Linked DNA regions of Xenopus tropicalis. The protein of the gene in region 1 interacts with the protein of each later gene in a biochemical or structural test. Links are inferred from orthologs where the notes say so. Each region holds a gene or a part of one and is shown in the gene's direction. Other genes may lie near its edges. The genes, in order: reps2 and epn1.

Region 1 (9,781 bases):
AATTTATGGTACAGTATAGACCGGATATATGTCTTTTTGCTGCATGCAAACTGCCTCATGTTAAAATAACCACAAGGCTTTTTTTTTGCTTTATGCACAGAATTATAATAATTTTCTCTATGTTTTACCATTAAAGGCTCATAAATGTCAAATTAAAAATGTTTACAAACTGTGCTCTACCAGTTTAGGATTTTCAGCCTAAGATTTGAAGTTGTAAATGTAATTCTTACAGTGATTCAGGCAGACTTGGATTTAATTCATTTGTCAATTGACTGTGACCTTGAGCAATATCATTTAGTTCTTTAAGGTCAAATAGTAGATCACTAACTGTATGGGGGATACAGGAAATATACAGGAAATATTTTTTTTACACCACTGAACAGGGTCAGGGTTAGGGGTAGGCAGAAGAGGCAGCTACCTAGGGCTCAACTTATGAGAGTAAGTGGTGTGGTAGCGATCAGGAGAGGAGACAAGGTACTTGCCTTGGGTGACAGTACCTTTTGGACTGACTCTGCTTCTGAATTTAACAAAAACCTCAAACCTTTTTTATTCTTGAAAAAATATTTGCACTTCCAGTAAGGGATAATATACTGTATCTTCTTCTGTATACCATGTAGAATAAACAATATGCTGAATTAAACAAAAGGGGTTAAGTATACACACCCCTCCAGCTTTGGTTGAACAAGAAGTGCAACGGGTCAGACACAATACATGACTACTACATTGTGTATTTCTCTGTGTCCAAATCTGCATATGGATACTGAGTTTATTCCTGATTTACAGTAATTTGAAAAAATATTTTACAATCATTATCTTAATCTTTATTGATAAAGCGATAATTCTTTTTTTTTGCAGCTTTCACTCTCAGTTGAAAGAGAATCACTTGATGATCCTAGTAATTACTCTGAGGACCCCTGGAGGATAACGGAGGAACAGCGAGAGTATTACACTAACCAGTTCATAACTCTTCAGCCTGACCTAAAATCATTAATTTCTGGTAATTATATTTTTGTTTAAATATCATAGTTTCATTCTGTAAGGAATTTCCATTCTATGCCCCAGATTCACTTCTATTTCAATTCCAAAATTTCCTATAGATTTTACTACAAAGATTGCATGAGTCCCTAAAGATCTTATTTAACATTTCAGAAATCTAAAGGGATTTACAAATGCAGTGTGCAAAGGTGCATTGTTTAAATGTAAGTCACCATTTTTTCCCTACAATGCAGCATTTTTTTAGGACTCACTTCCACAGAATGCTGATGTTCTTGTGACTGGTGTTAATGGATGGGTATTAAGGGAATTATAGAGGTTGGGGCCCCATAATCATAAGTAAATTTTAGAAGATATAGAAGAATATGTGCAGTTTCCTTTATATTGTCAGTTATCTGAATAATCTAAATAAGAGGTTATTGAATTGTTGATTATGTACACAAAATAAAAAAGCACCTAATGTTATTCCTTAACTTGACTCCAACAGGACACACATATAAATATATATGTACTTGTATGTATTATAGTATCCATATGGTGCTCACAATTATCCACTGACAAAACAGCAATACATACAGTGGAGGAAATAATTATTTGACCCCTCACTGATTTTGTAAGTTTGTCCAATGACAAAGAAATGAAAAGTCTCAGAACAGTATCATTTCAATGGTAGGTTTATTTTAACAGTGGCAGTAGCACATCAAAAGGAAAATCGAAAAAATAACTTTAAATAAAAGATAGCAACTGATTTGCATTTCATTGAGTGAAATAAGTTTTTGAACCCTCTAACAAAAAAAGACTTAATACTTAGTGGAAAAACTCTTGTTTGCAAGCACAGAGGTCAAACGTTTCTTGTAATTGATGACCAAGTTTGCGCACATTTTAGGAGGAATGTTGGTCCACTCCTCTTTGCAGATCATCTCTAAATCCCTAAGGTTTCGAGGCTGTCTCTGTGCAACTCTGAGCTTGAGCTCCCTCCATAGGTTTTCTATTGGATTAAGGTCCAGAGACTGACTAGGCCACTCCATGACCTTAATGTGCTTCTTCTTGAGCCACTCCTTTGTTGCCTTTGCTGTATGTTTTGGGTCAGTGTCGTGCTGGAACACCCATCCACGACCCATTTTCAGTTTCCTGGCAGAGGGAAGGAGGTTGTCATTCAGGATTTCACGATACATGGCTCCGTCCATTTTCCCGTTAATGCGAATAAGTTGTCCTGTGCCCTTAGCAGAAAAACACCCCCAAAGCAAAATGTTTCCACCCCCATGCTTGACGGTGGGGACGGTGTTTTGGGGGTCATAGGCAGCATTTTTCTTCCTCCAAACACAGCGAGTTGAGTTAATGCCAAAGAGCTCTATTTTGGTCTCATCAGACCACAGCACCTTCTCCCAGTCACTCACAGAATCATTCAGGTGTTCATTGGCAAACTTCAGACGGGCCTGCACATGTGCCTTCTTGAGCAGGGGGACCTTGCGAGCCCTGCAGGATTTTAATCCATTGCGGTGTAATGTGTTTCCAATGGTTTTCTTGGTGACTGTGGTCCCTGCTAATTTGAGGTCATTAACTAACTCCTCCCGTGTAGTTCTAGGATGCTTTTTCACCTTTCTCAGAATCATTGACACCCCACGAGGTGAGATCTTGCGTGGAGCCCCAGAGCGAGGTCGATTGATGGTCATTTTGTGCTCCTTCCATTTTCGAACAATCACACCAACAGTTGTCACCTTCTCTCCCAGCTTCTTGCTAATGGTTTTGTAGCCCATTCCAGCCTTGTGCAGGTCTACAATTTTGTCTCTGACATCCTTGGACAGCTCTTTGGTCTTTCCCATGTTGGAGAGTTTGGAGTCTGCTTGATTGATTGATTCTGTGGAAAGGTGTCTTTTATACAGGTGACTAGTTAAGACAGGTGTCCTTAATGAGGTTGACTAATTGAGTAGAAGTGTCTAACCACTCTGTGGGAGCCAGAACTCTTAATGGTTGGTAGGGGTTCAAAAACTTATTTCACTCAATGAAATGCAAATCAGTTGCTATCTTTTATTTAAAGTTATTTTTTCGATTTTCCTTTTGATGTGCTATCTGCCACTGTTAAAATAAACCTACCATTGAAATGATACTGTTCTGAGACTTTTCATTTCTTTGTCATTGGACAAACTTACAAAATCAGTGAGGGGTCAAATAATTATTTCCTCCACTGTAGATGTTTGGGTATAATGCTTATTTTTGTTTTAAATCACATTCTGGAGATAAGTTAGAGCAAGATTTGGGTTGAACACCTTACATTATTCTGTGTGGTAATGGAACTATGACTACACAACTGATAAATTAATAATTCTATATATCTGTAACCTTGTTAATAACTAAGAGGGGGCAATGGTCAAATGTTTGGCCTTCAAAATGGGCCTGAGCCAAAAAAAAACACTATTCTACGATTAGTAACATCTTCCTACAGATACAGAAATGCCGCAACATACTTGTAAATGGTTTGTTAATTATGCTTTATTTTTCATTTTATAATAAACATTGCATATTTTGTGTAAATAGTATTGAGATGCCATTTTTATGGAACCATTTAGAAACATTCTAGCATTTTTATTGTAAACAGTACAGTATACTGTTAGCGTGTACCATTTGTGCATTAATGTAAGTATTGAATTTTAATTGAAGTAGAGAGAACATTGTTTTTTTATGTTGGTTTTTTTTTTGTATTGTTAATTCTCTGTAGGATCTGTAGCAAAGAACTTTTTCACCAAATCAAAGCTGCCTATTTCAGAGCTCTCACATATATGGTAAGAAGACTTTATGTCTATAACAAATATTATATGATGAACAGTTATTTTTTCTGTTTTAAACCTTTTATGTCTCAATAGAATGAAACAGAAAAGGTGAGAAAAGTGATGTTAATTGGTAAGGGTAGATGAGTAAACTGTGTAGAAAAGCTAGTAAGTTAATATTTGAAGTACAAAGTATATGAATTGAAACAAACACAAAAAAAAGTAGAAAAAAAGATGGAAGAAGGAAAAATTAGGATTTGTGTAAAGTTTACAAAATTGGAATATAAAGCATGCTTGAAGAACAGAAAATGAAGCAAGTATACTTGGTGTTAAAAATCTCAATGGGAAGTAGTGGGCAGTAGCAAATGTCTAGTGTTTTATGATTTAAAGGAATATTGTTGTGGGAAAACATTTAAAAAAAAAAAATGAATCCGTTAATAGAGATTATCCAGCAGAACCCTGCATTGAAGTCTGTTTTTCATAAGTGCAAACAGATTTTAATATATTTAATTTTGAAATTTCACATGGGGCTAGCCATGATCTTCATTTTGCAGGGTGCCATAGCAATGTGACTTGTGCTCTGATAAACTTCAGTCACACTTTACTGCTGTGCTGCAAGTTGGAGTGATATTACCTCCCCTCCCCTTTTCCCCCAGCAGCCAATCAGCAGAACAATGGGAACAGTGTCGGACTGAGATGGCAGGGGCCCACCAGAAAACCCTGGACCATGGGCCCACTCTTAAAACTCTCCTCACTCAAACTCTCTATTATCCTAGTCTCTTTTCTCTACATTCTATACTCTATTCTTCCATCTATCAAGCTTCCTTGTCCCATACTGAAATAGGGAATGACCATGAAATAGGCTAAATAGTTAGAAGCAAGAGGGCCCACCAAGAGTTTTCCTGGTATCCTGGTGGGCCAGTCCGACACTGAATGGGAAGGTAACAAGATAGCAGCTTCCTGACACCTGTATTGCTATAAGTGGTAGATATGATAACAGCACTTAAGGGGCGTGACAGACAGGGAGATTAGTCGCCCGCAACAAATATCCCTTATCCCCAAAATGTTAGGCACCCCCCAGTGACTTAAATCGGTTACCTTTTACCACGGGCTGGGGTACCTGCAGCGAGCGTCTCCTCTTCTTTCTGCCGTCCTTGCGCAAAAAACTTAACAAAAAAGTCAGCTTTTTCACTCTACTGCGCGTGCGCTGGCCCAGGGATTCCAAAGATAGAAGAAATAAGGAAGAGGAGACCCTAGCTGCAGGTACCCCGGGCTGGTGCTGTTTTCTCATAACAGGGGCACCAGCCCAGGGTATCAGGTAAGCGATTAAAGTCACTGGGTGGTGCCTAACATTTTGGCACCCCCAAGTGCCTTAGCCTTTCCTTCTCCTTTAAAAGTAAAAAATCCAAATCTGGCTCATGACTCCTCCAGTTACATGGGAGTAGGAGAAACAGTAGGTTATCTGAAAAGCAGTTCTAAGGGTGAATAGAATCAGTTACCTTTGGCACTTGAGTAAAGTTTCACATTTTTTCAAATCAACCGGTGTGCTGCTGTTTTCATCATTTAGCTCTAAGGGTGAAGACACACAGAGCTACTAGTAGCAGCTACTTGTCACTGCTACTAAAATAGATAATGCTGATTATTTACTGATAACTGTCTCTATGTTTGTTTTAGCAGAGGCAATTCTCAGCATTTGCTTTGGCAGGGTTTTTTTTGGTCTTTAGTAGCTGTGAAAAAGTAGCTGCTACTAGTAGCTCTGTGTGTCTTCACCCCAATGTGTAGCGCTGGCAGGCTCCTTCTGCAAGTTCATAGACAGGCACAATGCACTGAGGTGGCTGCCTACACACCAATATTACAACTAAAAAAATACATTTGTTGGTTCAAGAATAACATTTTAAATGTTAGAGTCAATTATTTGCTATGTAAACAATGTAATTTAGAGATCAAAAGTATATTGTAAAAATCATCAAAGAATCATTTTAAACACTATCACCACCCTTTACACTCACACAGATTGCTCAGTTAGCTTTTAGAATAGGTATGGTTTAGGATGATTTACCTTTCAGTCAGTGCAGGTTAATATGTGACAGATATTTCTGTCCTAGAGGGTATAATCAGCCCATAATATATTGTTTCTTCCTTTTTGCTTTTTTGTTCCTCATTGCAGGGATCTTAGTGATGTAGACTGTGATGGAGCCCTAACACTGACTGAATTTAGTGCTGCTTTTCACCTCATTGTTGCAAGGAAGAATGGCTATGAGGTGCCAGATACACTGCCCCGGACTTTGTTGGCAGAAATTATTCAAACAGGTAAGCACATTAGGCTCATTTAGTGACAGTAAATTGCATGTTTCTGTGGTTTTTTTCTTAGCTGTACAACTAACAACTCTGTTTATACAAATAAAAATTTACAGAGGACTTGCTATTCTTTAGTTTAAACTATACAGGTATAACAAAAATGGAAAAAAGATCAAAACTGCCGTAGAATAATCAAAGCAAGACTGCTTTTGAGATGCATGGCTATTAACAATGTATATTTCTATTCTCAGAATTGGTGAACTTCTTTGATTCTGCTGTGCTATGGACTTTAAGGGGCTGATTTACTTACCCACGAACGGGTCGAATGGAGTCCGATTGCGTTTTTTTCGTAATGATCGGTACTTTGCGATTTTTTCGTATGTTTTGCGATTTTTTCGGATTCTTTACGAATTTTTCGGATCCAATACGATTTTTGCGTAAAAACGCGAGTTTTCCTATCCATTACGAAAGTTGCGTAAAAAGTTGCGCATTTTGCGTAGCGTTAAAACTTACGCGAAAAGTTGCGCATTTTTCGTAGCGTTAAGTTTTAACGCTACGAAAAATGCGCAACTTTTCGCGTAAGTTTTAACGCTACGCAAAATGCGCAACTTTTTACGCAACTTTCGTAATGGATACGAAAAACTCGCGTTTTTACGCAAAAATCGTATTGGATCCGAAAAATTCGTACAGAATCCGAAAAAATCGCAAAACATACGAAAAAGTCGCAAAATATTCGTTTTCAAGTCGGAACTTTTCCAATTCGGGTCGGATTCGTGGGTTAGTAAATCAGCCCCTAAGGGTTATCCTGGACTCAAGTGCTAGAGCACTAATGACTGCAAAAAAGCACCTCTTAATTTACATCCATAAAACACTTGCATTTTAGGGGTCATGCTACAATGGTAGGCCCAATGCAGACCTGTCATTACCATCTACCTATAATTACAGGTTTCCTTTTAGGTCTGTGCCTGCCTGCTCTCCCAAATTTATACATTATACCCACCTGTGCCTCAAAAATACAACCCTGTCATCTCCAATAGAAAGTAGAGTAGTGAATAGCTCAAGCTATTGTACAAATCTGGTATTGTCTTCAGAGTATTATCAGAGTCTTCACACTGAAGTAAATGATTCTAAATTCCAGATCTGCTTGCAAATATAATTGATAATATGATGATTGCTGCTGTTGCACAAGTTAATGCTGCTGCAATTCAGCATTGTGTTCAGCTCTGTGCCATCCAGTTCTTTAGAGGACAATCCAGTTCTGCTTTTTGTTGTGTATCATATGGTATATTTGCATGAAGAAGCTTCTGTACTACAGCAAGTAGCCTGTTACTAGGATACAAAAACGTGCTTTCCTGTGAATCATGGTAGAAGGCTTTGAAATTACATAAAAATATATAAATGAGTTGTATGATGTTATATGATTGTTGGTCATGAGCATCATTAACTTGGCACCTGTATAATTAATATATGTCACTAAAGATTTATCATTACTCAGGCTCCTGATGGAGCTTTGAAGGAACATCAGGTAGTGATTTGTCACTCCAGTGATTGACTGCTTCACAGGCAGGAGGCAAAATGCTACAAGTCAATCCCTTTTCAAGGTAAATAGGAATTTCCACTGTAGGCTATCCAGTCTAGTGACATGGTGGTAAAAAATTAAACACCGGTTGTTTTCAGGTAGTATGTGTCTGTCAGTAGACAGTCCCCAGTGCATAGTGGTAATTCCCATTAACTTCCCTGTTTCTGTTGTTTTGTCCCCTTTCTGCAGAGCAAGAAAATGCTGGGGGTGACAAAATGATAGAAATCATCCAGAGTGCCATTACATAAAACCAGTTGAATAGTAACATGTGACAGAGCCAACTGGAATATGCCGCACTTCTAAGTTGACGTCTCTGCTTTTATTAACTACTTAACAGGAGTATAGAGTTGAAGCCAAAGGTTACATAATGTTTGTGCTTGGTAATTTAGAAAAAAAATAGGTAAATAGACTCTCTAAATAAAAACAACAACTGTATATTCTGTATACTCACTGATTTTATTGTATTGGCAATTTATAAAAATGTGGTAACAATAAAAAAAGGTCTTTGGCCTGTTATGTGTAATTTAACAGTATACTAAAGCCATTGATGCCTGCCTAGTCAACAGGAAACAATATAAAATTTGTCCTCAGACTCTCCATTGTTTACGCCTTGGGGATGCACTACTGCAGGACCTAAATAACAGATGATTTTAAATGTAATACAGTGCTACTGCCAAGACAGTACTTACAGGGAGAGGAGACATTTTGTTGCAAGTCAGGCCCTTCAGCATTTACATCTTCTGGTACGCATGCAGATATGCAGCTATCTTGATTGGTTTTAGCTAGCATTTTAACAGTGTATATGGGCATTTGAATCTTATACTATACTAAATATAAAGATATGGTAGCTTAAAACAATTGTTAATTGCAGGTTCATTAAAGCCAATTTCTGGTGATGCATACGAGGGCTGTCGTGGAACAAGCACAGTTTGCCAGAGCAGAAAAGAGGTAACATATGATCTGCAGTTAATTTTTCAGTGTTAGATACAGTAATGCAATAGTACACAATGACTATGTACAGCTGCAGGAAATTGTTAGACTTTAACTGAACGGCTTTATGGTGGTCACTTCATCTCAAGATACTGTAGCTGAATATAGTAGCTTTTTATTACAAGTCATCCTGCTCCTTTGAAGTCACCAGGAAACTAAAGGGATACTGTCATCAAAAATTAAAACTTTTTTTTATAACTGTCATAACAGTGTCTTTGCATGAGCTTTATAATTTTTTATTTGCCCAGTGCTTTTATATTACCTATTTAATGCCCCAAGTTCCTCTATGAGGGGGGTGCCATATTTGTGCAGCAATAGTCCATTAGCATTAGAAGCTATAACTGAGAGGCTGAGAAGGCACAGTCAGGTTGGCAAAACAGTCAGGTTTAGGAACTTCAAGTAGCATTTACTTATAAAAGCAGCCCTATAAGCAAAAAATGATCAACATGACCTATAGATAACTTTCAATGTACATTAATATTTTTTTTGTGTCTGTATCACTTTAATTAATTTTCCTTGCTACACTAATGGACAATGGTAGGCTATTTTCTTAGCCAGCACCAAACAACAGTTTATGCCCCACAGCTAGTTGGTGGTATGCCATATCAGCCATATGGGACATCAGCAAGAACATTTAGTTCATAATTAGTTAGCAAAACAGTGGTGTAGCTACAGTTATTGGAGTGCTGTACAATGAAAGATCTGCTGCAGATATCAGGAGTATTCATTCAGCCAATGACTCAAACACTTAGGGGTCTTATGTGCAGCTGTTAGCCCATGGACTGCATTCCCAGCCCATGTGGATCCTTGGCCAGTCTCATGGAGCACAAATAATATATTGATAGCCAGACCTATAAGTTCCTAACTCAGACAGTAGATAATTTCTTTTGACATATGGAAACATTAAGAAATATTACTATATCTATGTAATGCACTGTGTTATTTGGCTTAAGTGTAAAATGTGTACCAATTATTACAACCTGCGACCCTTCAGCTATTTAACTGCAACTTCTAGGATGCACCAATAGCTAAAGATTGCAAATTGATTGTTTCTGGGAGTTGTATTTTGTCAGCTGGTGGAGTAAAGTGACTAGACATCCCTGTAGGGTAAGAAAGTGACCATCAAAAGCTGTGCTGTGGCTATAGGAACAATATT
Region 2 (9,881 bases), on another chromosome or scaffold:
TGTGCTATCCACAGTGGAGGAGGAGGCATATGGATTTAAGGGTGTGTCTTAATAACATAATATGACATAATATAATTCTTTCATATAAGAATAATTGTTGATATCCCCACAGTGAGGACCAAGCATTTGGGTTTTTGCCGCACTACCACCATTGTGATAAAATTGGTGTGGTTTGAAGTTGGTGTGGTTCAAAAAGGGGAGTGGTCAAAACTGGCTTCCATTAGCGGCCCTCCAGGTATGCTAGAGAAATTCCGGCCCTCGGCACCGCAGAAGTTGGACAGCACTGCTTTAGGGTGATGGCACTTAACATTTTCTAGCTCACAGGGGAGTATTCTCACTACATGGAAGGGGGAAATACACTATAAATAGTTTCCTATTTAAAGTGAATAAGAACTGTGCATTTGCTAAGCATACATTTCATAAAGCTGCAATATCAGCAGGGGACAGGCACGACTTCGGAATGGTCGACGTTGTTGTTTCTAGGTCATCTTTATAGAAAATCAATAAACTGATCAATCAGGTTGTGACAGAAAGTGACCAGGAAACTGAAGGATTTTCACATACCCCTCCCCCAGAGTGAGAAAGACTAATGGCCATACACAGGCAGATATCAACTGCCGATTCGGGTCGACATTGATTAGTCACCGTGACTTTTGAAAAAACATGGCCGCAGCAACTATTTGTGGTAATTTAGCTGCCATAGATTTATAAAGCAGTCAACACTAATCGTGTGTTGTGGCTTTTAGTTGCTGCTACTTTTTAAAAAGTTGTGGTGACTATTTACCCAGTGTGTCTTTGCACTAAAACTAAAGGCCCCCATACACGGGCCGAATGTAGCTGCTGATTTCTGTCCCTTGGACCGACTCGGCAGCTTATCGGCCCGTGTAGGGGCAGAAACGAGCGGGCTGGCCGACCGATATCTGGCCTGAAATTGGCCAGCTATCGGTCGGCCAGGTTAGAAGATCCAGTCGGATGGGGGACCGCATCGGCTCGTTGATGCGGTCCCCTAACCGACTGCCCCATTGCCGCCTACATAAATCGGATTTTTTTTTAACTTCAAGCTCCCCGATATCGCCCACCCGTAGGTGGGGATATCGGGGGAAGATCCGCTCTCTTGGCAATCTCGCCAAGCAAGCGGATCTTACCGTGTATGGGGACCTTAACTCAGCCCGTGTATGGGGTCCTCTGACCCATATCTGCCAAAAATTGCTCAGATGTTAATTGGACAGACTTGATTATTCGTCAGATCGGGGACAGCATCGGCTCATTGATTTGGTCCTTGCTTCAACTTTTCCTAATCCCTTCATTGCAATGCGATCAGTTGACCCTAGGTCCAAACGACTGCATTAGCAGGATATTGCCCACCCAAGGTGGGGCGTATTGGGGTAAAGATTTGCTTGTTTGGAAAGAGCAAATCTTACTGTGTATGGCCATCTTAAAATTTGACAGTACTGGGTTTAAAGGAGAAGGAAAGGCAAAGTCACTTGGGGGTGCCAAAATGTTAGGCACCCCCAAGTGACTTTAATCGCCTACCTTGTACCCAGGGCTGGTGCCCCTGTTAGGAGAAAACAGCACCAGCCTGGGGTATCTGTAGTGAGTGCTTACTCCTTCCTGCTTAGTTTTCCAGCAAATTCCTGTGGCCGGCGCATGTGCAGTAGAGTGAAAAGCCGACTTTTCTGTTTAAATTTAGCTTTTCACTCTACTGCGCATGCACGCACGAGCGAAGCAGGAAGAGCTGCAGGTACCCCAGGCTGGTGCTGTTCTTTCCGAACAGGGGCACCAGCCCGGGGTAGAAGGTAGGCGATTTAAGTCACTTGGGGGTTCGGTGGAGTTGGATATACAAACGTCCCAACCACAGTTTGAAACAGCACTCTGGTCCCCCACTTTAACCAAACCTACATCAACATTGTATAAAACACTACTACAAACAACTCCATCCTCATTCAAAACAGCACACCGCAAATGGTTGTCCATTCCCAGTCCTCACAGAGGAGGACTGGGAAGAAGCAACAGACAGAGGGTATTATTACTTATTTTCAGTAAGAGACAAACTTGTCCAATTTAAATGGCTGCACCAATTTTATCTCACGCCTACACGACTAAGGTCTATGGGACGCAACCCCGATGCACGATGCCATAGATGTGGGATGGAGGAGGCAAATTTCCTACACATGGCCTGGTCGTGCCCACAGGTAGCCAAATTGTGGTCTGAGGTTATGTGTGTCCTAGCAGACAAACTAGAATTCCCCAAAATTCTGACACCCCAGGTGTGTATACTAGGAATCCTGGATGAATTAATAACCACCAACCATGCTAGAACCAGGTATAGGACACTCCTATACTACGCAAGGAAAATCATTGCAATGGCTTGGATGGGACCCAAACCTCCTACAGTTCAAAACTGGATCACCCTGGTAAATCAAGTTTTGCCCCTCATTAAACTTACTTTGCTAGCCAGAGGTTCCCAAAAGAAATTTGAGAAAATCTGGAGCCCATGGTGGGAGGCAGGCCTAGGTGGACAAGGTACCTTGACATGAAATCCCAATTTACACGTGCAGATGACCTTAATTCCCTAACTAAAATCCTCATGCAACCATCATTTTAAAACATCCGCGCTACCTGCAAAACCTAGTATAATATAATTGAATGAAACAGCGCTGCACACCTATAATCTCGGTCATACCAACCGAACCTATTGTATTTCATTACTTTTGTCATAACAAAACTGAAACATGTATAATATGTTACCGCTATACCGTAACCAGTGGTATATAATCTCCCTTCCTGTTTTATTTTTGTTTTTCTTTATGTTTTGTTTCATGTATGTTACATAAAACAATAAAAAGGATAAACCATAAGTCACTTGGGGGTGCTTAACATTTTGGCACCCCCAAGTGATTTTGCCTTTCCTTCTCCTTTAAGGGAGAAGCAGGGTTTCTTATGGATTTACAAAAGAAGGAAGATTCTTAAGGGTTCAGAATTGGTTATTATATTTAGTTTTACTGGGAAGCTGCTGAAAAATAAAATAAATACTGTAAGGAAACCAGAGAAGTGCAAGGCAACCTTATGTCCATGTGAAACTAGCCCTACTTGGCCATGCGATTGCTTACATTGGGGAACAGTAACAACACCACAACTGGTTTGAGATATTTGTGTTTAGTACAGTAAAGATGGCCTACCACGTAAGCCAAATACAGCCCTCCAAGAGGAATATGGCCAGGCCCAGCCCAGCTGAAAATGGCTCCAATGACTTCTTTGTAAGAAATAATATTGAAACTATTCATTAGTAATAAGAACAATAGAGAATAAAGGGATTGATGCTCTACTACATCATAAGCAGGCCAGGAGAGAGAAGAGGGCAATGCAAGAAGATTGGAACTTCCAAAATAAAGAAAGAAGGACGTCTAACCATCCTGCATCTGTAGAGCTACAACTCTCACCATGCCCTGAGTATCTCTGCCCATACGGGCCCTATAATGCTTAGGGCCAAGCGCAGGTGCACCCTTCATTCTAAATCAGCGGTTCTCAACCTGTGGGTCAGGATCCCTTTGGGGGTCCAACAACCCTTTCACAGGGGTCGCCTAAGACCATCAGGAAACACATATTTCCAATGGTCTTGGGAACCAAGACACAGCTCCTCTATGGTTGGGGGTCACCATAACATGAGGAACTATATTAAACAGTTGCACGGTTCTAAATCCAGCCACACACAGCAGAGAAGCGTTACAGGCTTGTTTACTCTAACCAGAGACGCAAAAGCGAACAACGCATAGTGTAAATAAAGCTTTGGTATAGGAAGGAGGCCGCCCCTGATGTCATGCTGAGGGCGGAAGCGGCGACATCTTGTCCTCAGGCTGCCAGTAATTGCCCCCTCCCTTTTCCGTCCCTTAGTTTTTCCGGGGTGAAAGGGCGCGGGCTCCGGGGCGGCTCCTGCTCCTGCTGCTGTGTATTAGCTGTGCGGCGGAGACATTCCGAGTGAGGCCCAGGAGGGACGGGGGCGGCTTGGCGAGGAGCCGCAGGACTTCCTGTTGGAGCGGCTCGGGAGTGGCCAGGCTGCGGCTCCCATTCTGGCACAGAGGAGAGGCAGCGTTAATACAAGGATAGAGGTACGGGACAGCGCTGTGCCATGTACTGATACTGCTGTGCAAGCACCCCCCTCTGTGCGCAAACTAGCGCCTGTTTCCCTTCCATGTGCGGAGCCGCAGTGTGAGGGCACATTCCGCTTTCTGCCATTCATCCGCTCCGTGTGTGAATGTCACAGCCTACTGCAGCCTTATCCCGGGGCCGGCCCGCCTGCTGCAGCTGTATCCCGGGGCCGGCCCGCCTGCTGCAGCTGTATCCCGGGGCCGGCCCGCCTGCTGCAGCTGTATCCCGGGGCCGGCCCGCCTGCTGCAGCTGTATCCCGGGGCCGGCCCGCCTGCTGCAGCTGTATCCCGGGGCCGGCCCGCCTACTGCGGCTGTATCCCGGGGCCGGTCAGATTGCTGCAGCTGTATCCCGGGGCCGGCCCGCCTGCTGCCTTCACTTTCATTCTGTGCGCTAATCTGCCCGCATTCTGTGTTCAACCACTAAATACATTGGCATCCCACGCTACCTTCCCATTTACATTGGTTACGAATTTGCAGTGTCTTTAAAGTTATTTTAAATAGACTTTTTAGCTTTTATTAGGAAACCTGTTATTTATGGCTTTACATCCCCTTTAAGAGCATTAGTTCTTTTGTTGGAATCAGCATCAAGCTGAAAGTTGTAAATCACTGATTTATGTATAGTATGTCTGTTCTCATTGGGTGGCCCTCCATCAGCCTGTTCCCCAGGGACCCCTCTCTTACCTACTCCACTTCCTTTCACAAAAGCTGCTCCATAGTGTGTATGATGATGGCAGATACACTGACAGCTGAGATAAATAATGCAGATTCTGTCTTAGGGCTGATCCATGGAGAGAAGGGCTGCTTAATGGAAAGTGATAAAGCATTATGTATTGCGATATGGTATTGGCCTTGTTCCTATGCCCCCCTCCCTGGACAAAAAAAAACCTTTATTAGAACAAATGGCTTTGGAATATTGTTTTCAGCATCTTGGAGCCTTCGCCCAATGGCTTTTGTTGCCATGACTGCTAGTCATTTAACTGGAGAGTGGCAGGCTGGCCATTCATAGGTTGTTGTCTTCATGGTGCCTGTAAATAAGCACATACTATGTGCCATAAAGTCTTTTTAGGTTAGAAAGGGTTGTGGGGAACATGCTAAAACATAATGGCATGTTGGTAGTAGCCAACAGCTGGGGGGGGGGCAGGTTTGAATTCTCCTTTATCGATACAGTCCTGAAATTCCTTATGTACCGTTTTGCACCCAGCATTGCTGCACTCCATGTGCTAGCTTATTCACCTCCAGTTGGATCCCTGCAAATAAGCTAACTGCTATGCCGGCCTGCAGACTATGCTCTCAGCATTGCATTGCTCAGCAGAAAAAGGCTTTAACAGGAAAGATATGTGCACTTGGCAGTCAGAGCTGCTGTTTCAGTGCTTGTGGTTTACTACAGCTCAGTCTAGCTCAGAATGTGTATAGTCACATTAGGAGGAAGATTACATTGAGAATTTTTATAATAAAGTATATATGTTGGTTCATAGATTGGGCATGTATCTGAGGTGGTCACATTGCTCAGTTAGTGATGTTTAAGGTGTGCTGGGTTCCAGTGAATTTCATGAATGGTTCCTTAACAGCCAAATGCAGGGCCTATCCCTATAACAGAGTGAGCCACTTTGCTGCAGCATAAACACCCCATGGGTAAAGTGCATGGTTCTTGTGTTATGTCAGATACAGTTTGTTGTAAAATATACCTCCAGGATAGTCCTCTATGGGCCTCCTGTAGCAGAAGGCAGATTTCACACGCCAGGAAACAAGCAGCACTTACTAGTCACTAAGGGAACCCTGGGGTGCTGACGTCTGCTGCCATATGGGCAGGTAAGCAGCAATATTACAGTTATCTGCCTGACTGAATCATTTTGGACATACCCTTACGCTAAGGCCAAACCCTAAAGTTTTGTTGTCACACCACTGTAATACACAGCAAAATTTGTTTGGCTTAGTCGTGCTCTGATATTAATATGCTACTATCCAGGCTTAGATTCAGCCTAATGTTTGTGTAGAATACGATACAGGACTGAGTCCAAAATGATATACCACTAATCACTGATATTTGATTCCTCTTGTGTTATTCAGCATTATTCATTATGTTTAGATCCACTCTGCGCTATGCTACCAACAATGCTGCTTCTGTAAGGAAGATAGAATGGGAAGATAACCTGCTAGGGCATGTTTAATGTGTACTTTCAGTGGAATATACTGCCTGCTGATTGGCTGTGTCTGCTTACATAAAGGGGGCCAAAATAATCCTTTATTTTATCTCCAGATTTGATTGGGCAAGGCAAAGTGTATGAAGTGCATGTATCTATCCCTGCAACACTGCATTAATATTAAATGCAGTCAGATGTGCTTAATATAGCCTTTATTGCCTTCTGTGATTTGCTTACAAACTCTTTGCTATATTTGGTCTCAAATTAATTTTTTTTTGCTGAAGTCAAGGTGATTTTCCAGCAGCAAGTACACAGATTAGCTCAATTAGCACAAATTGTGGCTAATTGGTCTTTGTCGATGCGCAGAAGGTGTCGCTTATGCCATTCACACGTAATTGCAACTTGCTGGACCTTTACTTGTAAGACTGGCGAGCCTTGTTAGCAGTAGATAGCTCAATATAGCTTCCCGTCTGTGGGTGTTAAAGTGCCATTAACCCATTGCTTTCATTAGTTCTATTGCAGTGTCGTCGTTTGTGGGTGAAAACAAAGTGCTATGTGACTCAGAGACTAAGCAAGTGCCATAAAGCTGCTTTGGACAGATCACATACTCTTTGCTTTGTCAGCATTTAAATATTGCTGCTTGCGCCATCATGCTTTTAGCTGGCAGTGGTCTAGTAGCTTGGTTGTAAATGGGAGTGGAGCTTCTTCCATTAGGTCTTTGAGCAAACAAAATTATGGACTTTTGATGGGGGAAAACATGCCTGTCTCTTAAAAACTCCTCAATGAACTGTAGCATGCAGAACTGTCATCCAGCCCCATGTCATGAGGGAGATTATGGTCCAGTCCTTTATGGTCCAGTTTTTTTTTTTTTAGGCCTGGATTCCTCTTCACACTATATAATAATGATCAACTCATGAGACCATATTTCATGTTATCATTTAGTGTGAAGAGGAATCCAGGACTGGACTATTATCTCCCTCATGACACTGGGTTGGTTGACAGTCTCGGAGCAAGTAAAGGCAATGGCACCTGGGGCTGTATTGGGCGCTGTGCCACCTGTGATCTTTTCTAGCTTTACTCCGCCTTCCATGAACTTGGCAACAACTTTTCTTGATATATTGGTTTCAGGCAGCTTTCCTGCCGTGGTAAGGAACCTCAGTGGAATTAAAGGGGTGGTTCACCTTTATGTTAACTTTTTAGTATGTTATAGAACAGTGATCCCCAACCAGTGGCTCGGGAGCAACATGTTGCTTGCCAACCCTTTGGATGTTGCTCACAGTGGCCTCAAAGCAGGTGCTTGTGAGTCTAGAATTTAATTGTTATTGTTACTTTTTATTGTTTGTCTACCTCTTTGGCCCCTCAATTATTTATATATCAAACAACTGCCTGGTTGCTAAGGTTAATAAGACCTTAATAATAAATAAGCTAAATAACTTAAAAAAAAAAAAAAGACCAATTGCAATTATCAATGTTAACATCGTACTAAAAGTTAAGTTAATGGTGAATTAGCCCTTTAAGGGCTGCTGAAGTTTAACCAGAAAGGACATGGTAACATAGCACTTAATGAATGTCCCTTTTTTGTTTTAGAAATATTACAGAATGGAAAAGCTGTCATCATACTGCTATAGGAGAGATAATAGGAAAGTGAATGGAGAAACCCAGCTCATTTTATTCCCTGCTAACATGCCTTTATGTACAGTTTATGTAATTTCTGCCTGTTGATCCGTAAATGCCAGCAGGCCTAGCTCACACTATTACATTGCTTAAAGGGCTGATATACTTATGCTTTATTAATTGATATATATGGGCCAATTACAGCATACACATCAGCTTTTTATTTTACTTTCTTATCTTGTAATGCAGGGTTGCTTAACTAATTTGTTAGGGTACCGCGATTAAGTCTGGAAGTCTGTTTTGTGGCCCAAGAACCTAGATGACTTACTCGCTTCATTTTGGTTACTTCTTCCTGCTGTAGTAGGCAGTTTCTCTGTATGAAAGGTATTATGAAGACCCACTTTAAAGGGCACAGGGGCCACTTTTTGGTGCTATATCAAAGGTTAAGAATCTGTTGTAGTGCTGATATTCATACACTATTGCAATATACTTTGTAGACTTAATTTCTGGCATGTAGCATGATATATGTTAAATATTCATTTTGGTGTTTCCTTTTTGTACTGTGAGCTTCGTGGAAATACCTGAATTTTTACATTTCCTGATTATGCATTCATCTCACCAGATACAAATTGTCCTAGTTTGGGGGTGATATTCAGACAATTCTGGATTCTGAGTGCCACAATGCTTAACTACACAAAGTTTGCATTAAAACTTGTATAGAAATATTTTTGGGGAAATCTTACAGGAGGGCTTATTTGTACATATATGTTTTCTTGGCACTCGCATACCACTACTCCTTTGACCGAAACTGACCTGCAGGATTGTATCAAGGTCACCTGTATTGTATGAGTTTCTGAAGACTACTGAGACCATTATTAATATTAGTTCCAAAACAGTTTAAACAATTCGTATCCTTCTTACCCAAACATGGCAATTGATAACATGTGGAAGAGGCTCTCTTGCATTGTGAAATATATAAAGTGCAGAGATACTGTGTGCACAAAATATTTACACTACAGGGCAATTTTTTAGATGAATGGTGTGTCAGCGGCAATTCATTTACAATTACAATTGGTATGCAGAGAAGGGATGATAATATTGGATAATTTACCATGTTCTCTAGGGAAAAAAAACTTTGCTTATAAATAATTTATATTTTGAATTTAAGCCAATCTAATCTAATCAATTGTTTTGCAATTTATATGTATTTATAGCTGTGAGTATTGCAGTATTATGGTATTTTTTTTATAGCTGTGTCTGAGAATAGGGACTGGCTCAGATCTGGGCCATTTTAGAACCGTTTCTTGGTGCCATTTCTATTAATTATATTGTCTTGCTAAAAAAATTTAAATAATCAAGCAGTTTTGTCTTCCCCTTTTTGTAAATTATTGCAGACATCAAATCTGTTATTGGAACTTGGAATGCCAAAAACCATGTGCTACGTTTACTGGGATTGGTATAGGAATCATAGCTGATCAGCTTGTTTGCAATCGCATGACCCTGCATGACATGACCCAGAAGAGATGAGTTCTGTTAAAACTAATTCATTCATCTTTTTTTTTTTTTTTTTGTCTTCTGTTTAGGTTTCCAGTTGGATATAAGACTTTTTCTGGGACACCAACAGCAGACTTTAACTGATCTTGACAACGGCATCACTTTGAGTTATTTAGACAACTTTATGGACCATATTATGTACCGTAGATAGCCATTGGATTTTGTGTTAATTTGGGACCTCTGAGCTTTACTGGATTATTATAAACCTTTTCCCCATATATGTGCTGTTAACTTGGCCTGCATGGTTTAAAGCTTGAATACAGAATGCTGAAGGTCTTCTCTAGATCATGAGCCACATCCTTGCCCTGTGAAGGTAAGTGCAAACCGCTTGTAACACCACATTCTTATATATAAATTGCATTAAATAATGTGGACTACTTCCAGTCGTCATTAACATTTATATATTTTTCCTGCTAAATGTAAACC

The links.
Region 2: the proteins of reps2 (region 1) and epn1 form a complex in vitro, tested with the Homo sapiens proteins (3 studies listed by BioGRID and IntAct, with this or other methods). The link is inferred for Xenopus tropicalis from reciprocal best matches to the Homo sapiens genes REPS2 and EPN1.

Annotation. Positions count from the first base shown.
Region 1 is NC_030678.2:94,753,509-94,763,289, forward strand, and holds part of reps2 (ralBP1-associated Eps domain-containing protein 2), read left to right. Parts: intron 1-855; coding exon 856-997; intron 998-3,709; coding exon 3,710-3,773; intron 3,774-5,925; coding exon 5,926-6,068; intron 6,069-8,506; coding exon 8,507-8,583; intron 8,584-9,781. UniProt on the Homo sapiens protein: Involved in ligand-dependent receptor mediated endocytosis of the EGF and insulin receptors as part of the Ral signaling pathway. By controlling growth factor receptors endocytosis may regulate cell survival.
Region 2 is NC_030683.2:104,089,725-104,099,605, forward strand, and holds the start of epn1 (epsin-1), read left to right. Parts: upstream 1-4,077; 5' UTR 4,078-4,106; intron 4,107-9,484; 5' UTR 9,485-9,768; intron 9,769-9,881. UniProt on the Homo sapiens protein: Binds to membranes enriched in phosphatidylinositol 4,5-bisphosphate (PtdIns(4,5)P2). Modifies membrane curvature and facilitates the formation of clathrin-coated invaginations. Regulates receptor-mediated endocytosis.